Rattus norvegicus: one gene and its partner. The main gene of each other region encodes a partner of the protein of the gene in region 2 in a complex. Links are inferred from orthologs where the notes say so. Each region holds a gene or a part of one and is shown on either strand. Other genes may lie near its edges.

What was found. Proteins that work in one complex are often made in the same cells at the same time.
Region 1: Taf6 (region 2) and Taf12 share a complex: the UniProt entries of both Homo sapiens proteins name them as parts of the TFIID basal transcription factor complex. The link is inferred for Rattus norvegicus from reciprocal best matches to the Homo sapiens genes TAF6 and TAF12.

Annotation. Positions count from the first base shown.
Region 1 is NC_086023.1:149,765,823-149,771,076, forward strand, and holds part of Taf12 (transcription initiation factor TFIID subunit 12), read left to right. Parts: intron 1-1,242; coding exon 1,243-1,320; intron 1,321-1,767; coding exon 1,768-1,882; intron 1,883-4,319; coding exon 4,320-4,408; intron 4,409-5,254. UniProt on the Homo sapiens protein: The TFIID basal transcription factor complex plays a major role in the initiation of RNA polymerase II (Pol II)-dependent transcription.
Region 2 is NC_086030.1:22,168,146-22,173,629, forward strand, and holds the end of Taf6 (transcription initiation factor TFIID subunit 6), read right to left. Parts: coding exon 5,373-5,484; intron 5,262-5,372; coding exon 5,184-5,261; intron 5,072-5,183; coding exon 4,970-5,071; intron 4,861-4,969; coding exon 4,678-4,860; intron 3,965-4,677; coding exon 3,890-3,964; intron 3,791-3,889; coding exon 3,665-3,790; intron 3,590-3,664; exon of another isoform or gene 2,708-3,589; coding exon 2,534-2,707; exon of another isoform or gene 2,411-2,533; coding exon 2,213-2,410; exon of another isoform or gene 1,955-2,212; coding exon of another isoform or gene 1,768-1,954; coding exon 1,480-1,767; 3' UTR 1,425-1,479; downstream 1-1,424. Other genes in the region: Ap4m1 (AP-4 complex subunit mu-1), read left to right, coding at 1-21, 733-783, 880-991, 1,074-1,298. UniProt on the Homo sapiens protein: The TFIID basal transcription factor complex plays a major role in the initiation of RNA polymerase II (Pol II)-dependent transcription.

The DNA.
Region 1 (5,254 bases), on a different chromosome or scaffold from region 2:
GTCGGTCATTCCTCATCCTCTACTACAAAGCAAGTCAGGACCCTGTCTCAAAGACACAGAGGGCCACCAAGATGGCTCAGCCAGTAAAGACCCATGCTGCCAAGCTTCATACTCAGAGTTCAGTCTCTAAATCTATGGTGGAAGGAGAGATCCTAGTTCCTCAAATTATCCTCTTCTACATATGCATTGTGGCACGTGCAAACACAACATACCCCTAAATTACGGTAAAGAGAAGCCTTTAATCCTAGCACTCAGGAGGCAGAGCCAAGCAGATCCCAGTCGAAGGCCAGCCTGGTCTACAGAGTGAGCCCCAGGACAACCAGAGCTGCATTGTGGGAGCAGTGCAGTTCTCATAGAGGGGCGGGCAGACTGTTTGTTGCGTTTTGTTGTTTGTTTCTATTCCTGATGCTGGGATCTACAGCAGGATCAAGTCAGACAAGCAGTGTATGACCAAGCTGAGTCTTGAGCTTCCTCGTCATGTTTTAATGTAATCCAGATGCGATTGCCTTTCCGCGGAGAAGAGGGAGATTAACTGTAGCTGCTCCACATTACTTAGGTTACAGAGATGGCCACACACTGGTTGTCCTCATGGAACTGTTAGATTTTTCTTTTTCATTTTCTTTTCTTCTCTTTTCTGTTTCTCGCGCGCGCGCGCGTGTGTGTGTGTGTGTGTGTGTGTGTGTGTGTGTGTGTGTGTGTGTGTGTGTAAGTTTGTTTTGAGACAATGTTTCTTTGTGTAGCCAGAGCTGTCCTGGAATTCACTTTGTAGGGCAGGATGGCTCAAACTTAGGTGTCTGCCTGCCTCCACCTACCTGGTGCTGGAATTAAAGATCTGTGCTGGGGCTGGGGATTTAGCTCAGTGGTAGAGCACTTGCCTAGCAAGCACAAGGCCCTGGGTTCGGTCCTCAGCTCTGGAAAAAAAAAAAAAAAGATCTGTGCCACCCACCACACCCAGCTCGAACTGTTAGCCAGATGCAGAGAAGAGGGTGAAAGCTGGAACTGCATAAACTGCCCGACAGTGGGACGCGGGCCTCCGCTTTAAACGATTCCCCTCTCCCTCCAAACCGCTCTTGCTCTCTTTCCCATGACAGCTTTTGTCTGGATTGTACCTTTATAGCTGTACCACAAGGTAGGGCTGTCTGAACGAGACTAAACCCAGCAATTTGACATCATGTCTTCTGTAGCCATAATGAGATTTGCTTCCTTAATACTTCTGAAAACTCTCTCCTCAATTCACTATAGGTATTGACCAAGAAGAAGTTACAAGACCTAGTAAGAGAAGTGGATCCTAACGAGCAGCTGGATGAAGATGTGGAAGAGGTAAGGTGGACTCGGGCACCTGTCCCTGCGGTTGAGGCATCGTGGTGAGTTGGAGCAGAGATGCTGGGTCTGGGAAATGGCTCAGCAGTTAAGAGCATTTACTGAACCTTACAAACTGCCTTAACACCACCTGCAAATAATCTAGTGCCCTCTTCTGGCTTCCTGGGGCATCCTCACACATGGGGCATATGCGTACACCTACATGGATGAATAGAAAATAAAAATATGGGGCTGGGGGTTGGGGATTTAGCTCAGTGGTAGAGCGCTTGCCTAGGAAGCGCAAGGCCCTGGGTTCGATCCCCAGCTCCGAAAAAAAGAAAAAAGAAAAAGAAAAACAAAAGAAAGAAAGAAAGCAAATCTTGCCAAATGAGACTCAGAAAGCACACCGCTGTCCCAGCAGCAGGCGCCTGCCCTGCCACTGGCTTATCTCCCATTCCACCTCTCCAGATGCTGCTGCAGATCGCTGATGATTTTATCGAGAGTGTGGTGACAGCTGCCTGCCAGCTCGCTCGGCACCGCAAGTCCAGCACCCTGGAGGTGAAAGATGTCCAGCTGCATCTAGGTATGTTGTTTCCTTTCTCCCTGAAGTAGCCTCATAACTCGTTGGTAGGACCTCTGACAAATGTCAGAGAAACCTTCATGCCACAACCAGACCTTTAGGTCTGGAATTTACCATTCAGCACCTTCTGAATAGAAGAGAGAAAGGCCTTTATGGAAGGGGGATACCCCAGGACATCAGATTTAAAACATCCCTCCACTTTCCATTGCACAACAACCTTTGTGCTTGATTTCTGAGTCTGTCTCCCTTTTCAGAAAGTGAGGATCATAATGTCTCACTTGAAGGTAATTATGAGAACTACTGATTATATTGATGAACTGGAAAAAAATGGGCATATTCTACAACTGAACACAATAACTCTCATCATATGTATGTGCATCAGATGTAACATACAATCATAAAGTCATTAAATTTCTGTTTAAGGGCCAAGGAGATGGCTCAGTGGGTAAGAGCCCTTGCCGTGGATGCGTGATGACCTCCATGCACCCACATAATAAGTCAGGGCTGTGCATTCCTGTATTCAAAGCCCTAGGAAGTCGGGATGTGCAGAAGGGCTTCTGGGCTGCTGGCGACCAGCCTGTCTGGAAAACTATGTGCTTCTGGTTCAGTGACAGATCCTGTCTCAGAAAAAGGTGCGCAGTTAGAGAGGAAGGCACCAGCTGTCCTCTAACCCCCAGGCACACAGGAGCATGTGCACTTGTGCGCGCGTGCACACACACACACACATACACACACACATACACACACACGCATATATAATACAACCCCAGTTTGATTTAAGTCATTGGTCTGTCTAGAGTTACAAGACAAACCGTGTCTCCTATGCTCTGGGAACACTAATGGAGGAATGATAAAGGGGCCACTTGTATACAACTAGGGGCAAGTTAGGAGCTGAATTTTTAGGCCTGTAATATTGTATTCAATGTATTTTTTTGATTTAAAGAAATCTCCGGGGTTGGGGATTTAGCTCAGTGGTAGAGCGCTTGCCTAGCAAGTGCAAGGCCCCGGGTTCGGTCCCTAGCTCCGGAAAAAAAAAAAAAAAAAGAAATCTCATGTTGTAATTAAATATGAAAATAGGGTAAAAATATAGAAAGGAACAGTGGTGTCTAGGTAAACCCTTCTGAGTGGAACTTTTCTCTCGAAGTGTGTTTGTACACTTTTTCTTTTTTTTTCTTTTTTTTTTTTTTTTTTTTTTTGGTTCTTTTTTTCGGAGCTGGGGACCGAACCCAGGGCCTTGTGCTTCCTAGGTAAGCGCTCTACCACTGAGCTAAATCCCCAACCCCTTTTGTACACTTTTTTAAAAGAAAGTGTCACCTCCCTAGACAGCTAGGGCATGTTACAAAGAGAAACCTTGTCTTGAAAAACAAAAAAAGAAAGAAAGAAAGGATCATTTTGGCCTGGAACTCACATAGACCCATCCGCCTCTGCCTCTGCCTCTGCCTCTGCCTCTGCCTCTGCCTCTGCCTCTGCCTCTGCCTCTGCCTCTGCCTCCGCCTCCGCCCCCGCCCCCGCCCCCGCCCCCGCCCCCGCCCCCGCCCCCGCCCCGCCCCCGCCTCCGCCTCCGCCTCCGCCTCTGCCTCCTTACTGCTGGAACTAAAATCATTTGTCACCATGCCTAGCCAAAAATAAAATAAATAAAAACATAATAAAGATTTAAAAACATAAGAAGTAAGATAGGCAGTAGCCAGCATAGCATCATCATCCCAGCACTTACGCAGCTAGTACAGGCAGGGAGGTCACTGTGCGCTCAGGTCATGTTAATCTTTGCCTCCGCAATATAAAAATGGGGGCTGGACAGATGGCTCAGTGGTTAAGAGCACTGACTGCTCTTCCAGAGGTCCTGAGTTCAATTCCCAGCAACCACATGGTGGCTCACAACCATCTGTAATGAGATCTGATGCCCTCTTCTGGTGTGTCTGAAGATGGGTTTAGTGTTCTCATATATTAAAAAACAAATTAAAAAATAAAAATAAAAGCTAGAGAGATGGCTCAGTGGTTAAGAATACTTGATGTTGGGGTTGGGGATTTAGCTCAGTGGTAGAGCGCTTGCCTAGGAAGCACAAGGCCCTGGGTTTGGTCCCCAGCTCCGAAAAAAAGAAGAAAAAAAAAAAAAAAAGAATACTTGATGTTTTTCCTGAGGACTCAAGTTTGATTCCCAGCATCCACATGGTGGCTCCTAACTGTCTTTAACTCCAGATCCGGGGAATCTAGCGCCCTCTTTTGGCTTCTTTGGGGACAAGCTTGCACACCATACACATCCATACATGCAGATGAAACACATAACTCCATGCGTGTGTAGTAAACCCAGTGTTAACAGCAGTGAAGAGGCCTGCAGAGGCCACGTGTGTATAACCCAGTCCAAGTCTGTCTTTGCTGCTTGCTGCAGCTTCACTGCCCGTCTGGCTGGGGCCTCAGCTCTGTGCTGGTGTCTTCTTTGCAGAGCGCCAATGGAACATGTGGATCCCAGGATTTGGCTCTGAGGAGATCCGGCCCTACAAAAAAGCTTGTACCACAGAAGCTCACAAACAGGTAAGGAGCCTGGGGCAGCCAGGACTGGCCCCTAGAACTGCATCTCAGGGAGTACAACCAGCTGCCTGCTGGGTGTCAGTCCCCTACATAGCCAGCTTCGCTGCACCAGAGGTCAGAGGTCAGGGACGCTCCATCAGAGGTGCCCTGATGCCGTGCTGCTGTGCGTGCCTTTCAGTTTCCATTTAGAGCTCTTGACTCCAGATCCCTGCGGGCGTGTCCACTGCTCTCACTGAGAACTGGCTTGAATAGCACCCACCACCCGGTCAGAGGAAGGAGTTGGGTTATGTCAGGCCTGTGCTGAGCCACCCTGGCTCTTCTGCCCGACATTCTGGGTTATGTCAGGCCTGTGCTGAGCCACCCTGGCTCTTCTGCCCGACATTCTGGGTTATGTCAGGCCTGTGCTGAGCCACCCTGGCTCTTCTGCCCGACATTCTGGGTTATGTCAGGCCTGTGCTGAGCCACCCTGGCTCTTCTGCCCGACATTCTGGGTTATGTCAGGCCTGTGCTGAGCCACCCTGGCTCTTCTGCCCGACATTCTGGGTTATGTATGTTCCACGTTAGCAGCTGTCCTCTGCCCTCCCCGACACTGAGAGGACATCATTTCTGATCAAGAACCAGTTGTCCCTGTCCTTAGTCCAAAAAGGGCACTGGCCTCCCACTGACAAACCGGGCATCCTTCTGTTGTGATCTCACAGCTGCCCTGATGGGAGTGTGCGCTGCGGTGAGCAGGCTGGTCTCCTGGTTCTTGAACTGGGCCCAGTGGCCTCTGCAGCCACCTCTTAGCCCTGTGCACTGCTCCCTAAAGACAGACCGCACTACGTGCTGTGGCATCTGGATGTTCCAGAA
Region 2 (5,484 bases):
GTGTGACCTGCCCCCAAAGAGGTAAGGGTTGGGGCTGGTCAAGTTGGGTATGGTGGCATATTCCTATAATCCCAGCCCTTGGGAGATAGAAGGTTCAGGAGACCAGGACCAACCTCAAATACATAGGAAGTTGGGAGGCCAGGTTGGGCTTCATACTCAGAAAGCAAAACACAAAAATGAATGTGGGCTAGTCACACTCAGTTCAGCTGTATGGGGCAGAAAACAGGCCCAAGGACCTGATAATTTTTCCTCCAGGCAGGTTCACTAAAGCTTTGTAGTGTGCAGTGTGCAGCTATAAGCCCAGCAGCCTGAAACAGAAGGTTCCCCAGTTGTGAAACCAGTCTGGGCTTCACAGTGAGACGCCCATCTCAAAACACCCAGTCACATCCACCAATTTTAAATTTCATTGAGTCAGAGGTTGTGGTATTTGGGGAAGGAAGGGTTAGAGGCGGGGATGTATCTGTGCTGCACTCTCTTATGGAGGAACAGAGAAGGGGCTGGGGTATAGACCAGTGTGCAGTGTTTGCTTAGCACTGAGCCCTGCCTTTGATCCTCAGCCACGTAAACAATGTGGTTGTGCACACCTGTAACCCTAGGCCTGGAGGAAGCAGAGGCAGGAGAATCAGGTTCAAAGTCATCCTCAGCTGTTTGACTGTCTCAAGAGCAGTACAAACAGAAAGGCCCAGGGTAAGACACTGCCCCCTGGGCTTGACTGTTCTTTCCTCTTTGCAGCCAAGCTCTCAACATTCATCTGCACCTTCCCCTGCCTCGAGGGGTCGTCAGGTCAGCATGCTTGCTGGGAAGACTCCCTGGGGTAGAGCCTCTGCTCTACCAAGGAAGCAGCCACTTAGTTTAGCATATTCCCTGTCCACCATCCAGCCTGTCTCAGGAACTGAGCAGCCCAGATCAGAAGGCAGAGCTGGGAGAAGGAGCCCTTCACTGGGACCTGCCCCGGGTACAAGGAGGTTCTCAACTCTCTGGCCTTTTCCAGGTATGCACTGTTGATCCCCACACACCTTCTCTAGAACCCAGTCCTCCTGCTGTCTCACATCTTCCTTGACTTTCACTTACAGATGGATGTCCCTGGCTTGCAGGGACCTCCCAGCCGTGGGCCGTCCCCCTCAGCACCCCCCTTGGGGCTGGGTCCTGCCAGCCTCTCCTTTGAACTCCCTCGGCACACATGCTCTGGCCTCCAGGTTCGATTCCTCAGACTGTCCTTTAGCGCCTGTGGTAATGCTAACCCTCACAAGTGGGTTCGACATCTAAGCCACAGCAACGCCTACGTAATTCGGATTTGAATCTCCTCAAAGAAGGATATGGACAGCAATGTCAGCAGGCATTTTCTTTCTTGTGACTTTGGATCTGGACAGGAAGGTTCCACAGACTCACCCCTTCTGTTTTGTGACACAGGGAGGCTCACAAAGTTACAAATCCAACTTTTATTCTGAGGAACTTACTGTACAGAATCTAAAAAGAAAGTCACTGGGGAAAACATCTTTCTTCTTCCTCCCTCACACGTTGTTTGTGTGTGTAGGAATCTGCAGAAGAGAGGAGGTCAGCACATGTGACAATATCACAGAGCAGGCTGGGGAGAGCTAGGTCCAGTAGGCTGGGAGCCATTAGCCTTTGGAGTCCCTGGAGCTGGAGGGGGGCTGTCCCCAGTTTCCTGCTTCCCCCCACAGAGGGCACTGCCCCCAAGTGGAGATGGTGAAGAAGATGAAGGTGGGACTGGAGAAGGATGAGAAGGAGGGCCTCCTTTGCCTTCCCCTGTTGGGGGAAGAGAGACCACAATGTATTTCTGAACACTGCCAGGACCAGCAGGGGCTGTGCTTGGGGGTGCAGTGGTAGCAGTGGAGACCAGCTTGACAATGGGCTGCACGCTGGGAACTGTGGTGGTGACAGGAGAGGTAGTGGTAGAGCCTGAACCAGGAGCTGAGGTGCTGAGGGACAGGACCTGAGGGAGAAAGGGGGGCCTTGGGTCAGGTTGTCCTTGCTTCTAGAATCTTCTTCCAGGTACCTGCTGTTGGCCCTTGCCCTCTGCTCCCACCTTCCCTTGTAGTCCCCAGTGAATGCATGGTCAAGATTGCTGCTAGCTCGAGGCCTCCAAGATCCTGATAAGTGGCTCTAGTACGGTATGAGTTTGAGCCTGAAAGGATTAGGTCACAACTTGGAGGTTTCCCCAGGGTGCTCCTCACATCCTGGCTATACATACCTGCTGGGTTGATGAGGCACTGGAAGATGAGGACATTACAATAAACTTCGTTGGAGGAGGAGAAGGCTGAGGAGGGGCAGCAGCTCTTGCAGACACCAGTGTCTGGACAGGCAAGGCAATAGAGCCAGGGACCTTCAATAAGCCAGGGGTACGAGGGCCTGGCTGAGGGGCCTGTGAGAGGGTCAGTGTGGGCCGAGGCTATGAAGAGACACAGGAAGAAAATGTTAACACTGGGGGTAGGAGTGGGGTCCAGTTCCCTGAGACTGCTGTCTGTGGCAAGTCCCTGTATGTTTCCTGTCAGCCTCCTCCCTCACAGCTGACCTGTGTGATGGTGAGTGTGGTCCTGTTGACCTGCTGAGCTTGAAGAGCGGCCTGGGCCCTGGCCTTCACCACATGGGAGCAGAGAAGGGGCCCAAGGGACCCAAATTCTCCCCGGTAGGCATCCTGATTGTCAGGTGGAGGGCGCAGCTTCGCCAATACTGGGGCACAGTGTTTCTGCAGAGGAGGCAGAGTGAGGGCTGGAATCCTTCCGCAAAGGTGAGAGAGGAGCTCATTCACTGCTGCTGTTAGAAGCCACAGTGAAAAGCTATGGTTCTACAGGGAATGCATCAGAGCTGGGTGTGGTGGTTCATGCTTGTAGGTCTAGCATTTGAGCTGAAGCAGGAAGATCAGTGGGTTCTAGGCTAGCCTGAGCAGGTGGCATATCTCAAAAGTGAGGGCCAAGGAGAATACAGCTCATTGGTAGAATGCTGTGCAAGCATGCATGTGGCCCTAGGTCCAATTCCCAGCAGAAAAACAAAAAGAATGGGGGTTGGGGAGGACTGGAGAGGGAGCAGAGGTGTAGAGTGTCCGCTCAGAGGGCAGTTGTTCACTACCCTCTAGGACTCCAGGAGATCTGTCACCTTCCTCTGGCTTCTGTGGGCACCTGTAACCATGGTGCACATTCTTACACATACAAAACAATGTTTTACAAATAAAAAGGAATGATTTCAGTGGATATGGCGGTGCATTCCTGTAATCTCTGCACTCAGAAGAGAGGGAACAGGATTGCCACAAGGTCAGCATGGTGCACAAGTTCTACACTAGTCAAGGCTATACAGCAAGATCACATCTATAGGAGTCAACACATTGAAAATTAAGACTATTTCCTTCCATAAGGATCAACTGATATGAACAGGATTTCCTGTATCTGCTGATGATATATATAGTGATCATTGCCTTGTGTGGCGGGAGCTGTAGGGTGAGACAAGCAGGATGAGGCAGTGCAGTGCAAAAGTTACTGACTACCAAGGCTTTCTGTTTGAGCCTAGCTTTCCATGTGCACAACAGTGCCGGCCTCTCAAGAATAAAAGTAAAATGTGCTTCGTGCTTGCTAAACATTGTAGCCGTGTTTGTGGGAGCTGAGGGCGGGGCTGGGGTGAAGAAGGAGAGGGTATGGTGGGGGTTCGTCACCAGGAGAAGGCTCTGAACATGGTCTGCTCCGATACGGTCGATGTTGCTCAGAACAGGTCCGTCCAAGACACTTCGGATCCGCTCCCCTTCCTGCTGCAGCCTTGGCAGAATTAGGGTCTTAATCACCTGGTGGGAAGGAAGGGGAAAATCCCAGGCTAAAAGGTCACCAAAGGCCCCTCCCACAGCACGTGTAACTGCCCCTCTCCCGGCTCTTCCTAGACTAACATCATGCCCCAGCTCTGCCAGGCCTGCAATGGAGCCATATCGAGTTGTCCATGGAGTCTTCTCATCCACCCAGCTCTGTAGAGGAAAGAAGAAAATCCCAGATGAAAAGGTTTAGAAAGGCTAACAGCTAAACCAGGCCTGGTGGTACATGACTGATCCTGGCACACAGGAGGTAAAGATAGGAAGATCGGAAGTTTAAAACCATCCTCAGGCTGGAGATTGGCTCAGTGGTTAAAAGCACAGACTGCTCTTCCAGAGGTCTTGGGTTCAATTCCTAGCAACCACATGGTGGCTCACAACCATCTGTAATGGGATCTGATGCCCTCTTCTGGTGTGTCTGAAGACAGCTACAGTGTACTCACATAAAAAAGCTATCCTTGGCACATGACACACTGTTTCAAAACAGAGAAGGCTGCCAGGCAGTGGTGACACATGCCTTTAATCCCACCACTCACAGAAGGTAGGTAGGCAGGCAGGCAGGCAGGTGAGTCTCTGAGTTCAAAGCCAAGCCTGGCTTACAGCAGGACTACACAGAGAAACTCTGACTCAAATAAATAAATAAATCTGGAAAAAGGAGGAAAAAACCCTAACTGCAAAAGATTGATACCACCTATTAAACACAAAACCTATGTCTTAAGACATAAAGGTTCAGGCCCCTTAGGGCCAGTCTCCCTGGATCCCGTCTCTGCTCCATGTTCCGGGGATCGTTTCCACTGGGTGAAGCTCTCTTTCACACAGATAGCCCTAAAGGGGTGATTTGCATCATCTGATACATTTTTGGTGCTTACCTTGGTAAAGGTCTTGGTGATTCGGGATTGGATGTTGTTGGTGGTTGTGCTGAAATGCTTACAGATCTGGGCCACTAGACGGGCAGCAAAATCCCGGAGTGCCCAGTGATTGTCCACATCTGGCCGCAGGCACAGCTGTCTGCTCACAATGCAGGTCATTACTGCAGGAATCAGCTCGTGCACCTGAGAGAGAGCAGGCCCTGTCAGCCGGTTCTGATAGCAGACCTCCTGTGGTGAGGCTGGCAGAAGAGCCCTGACCCTAGAAGGGAAAGTAGGCGGCAAGACCACTCACATATTTCTCAAGATACAGTGTGGGGTTGTCCATCAGGGCCTTAACCATTCGCATCAAGTAGATGAGCAAGGCCAGGTTATTCTGAACCACATTCACACGGACCTACGAGAGGGAAAATTGAAGATGGGTGCAGAGAGACCCCTCAGATGAACTTCCCTTGGATCCCCCTCCCTTGGAGCCTCATCATGGGTCTGGCCTTCCCCAGTTCTCTCACCCCCTCTGAGATGAAGGTACTAAACCGTGGTAACATCTGATAGAGTCCAGGATCTGTGGCAATGCTCTGCAGAGCTTCCTGTGGGAGGGGGCAATGGTTAGGTGGGAGCATTTACTGTAGAAAAAAAAAATTACCATTGTTCCGGAAGATTCTTCCTCTGTGTGAAGGGGGGCCAGAGGGCAGGCTTACCGCTCTCTTGGCCTCACAGGATCCCACACAGGCTTCTGTGATCTCCTTGTAGTACAGCTGCTGCTCCACGGACAGCTCATGGATGCTGCGGGGCTTCAGGCGGAAAGGGGCC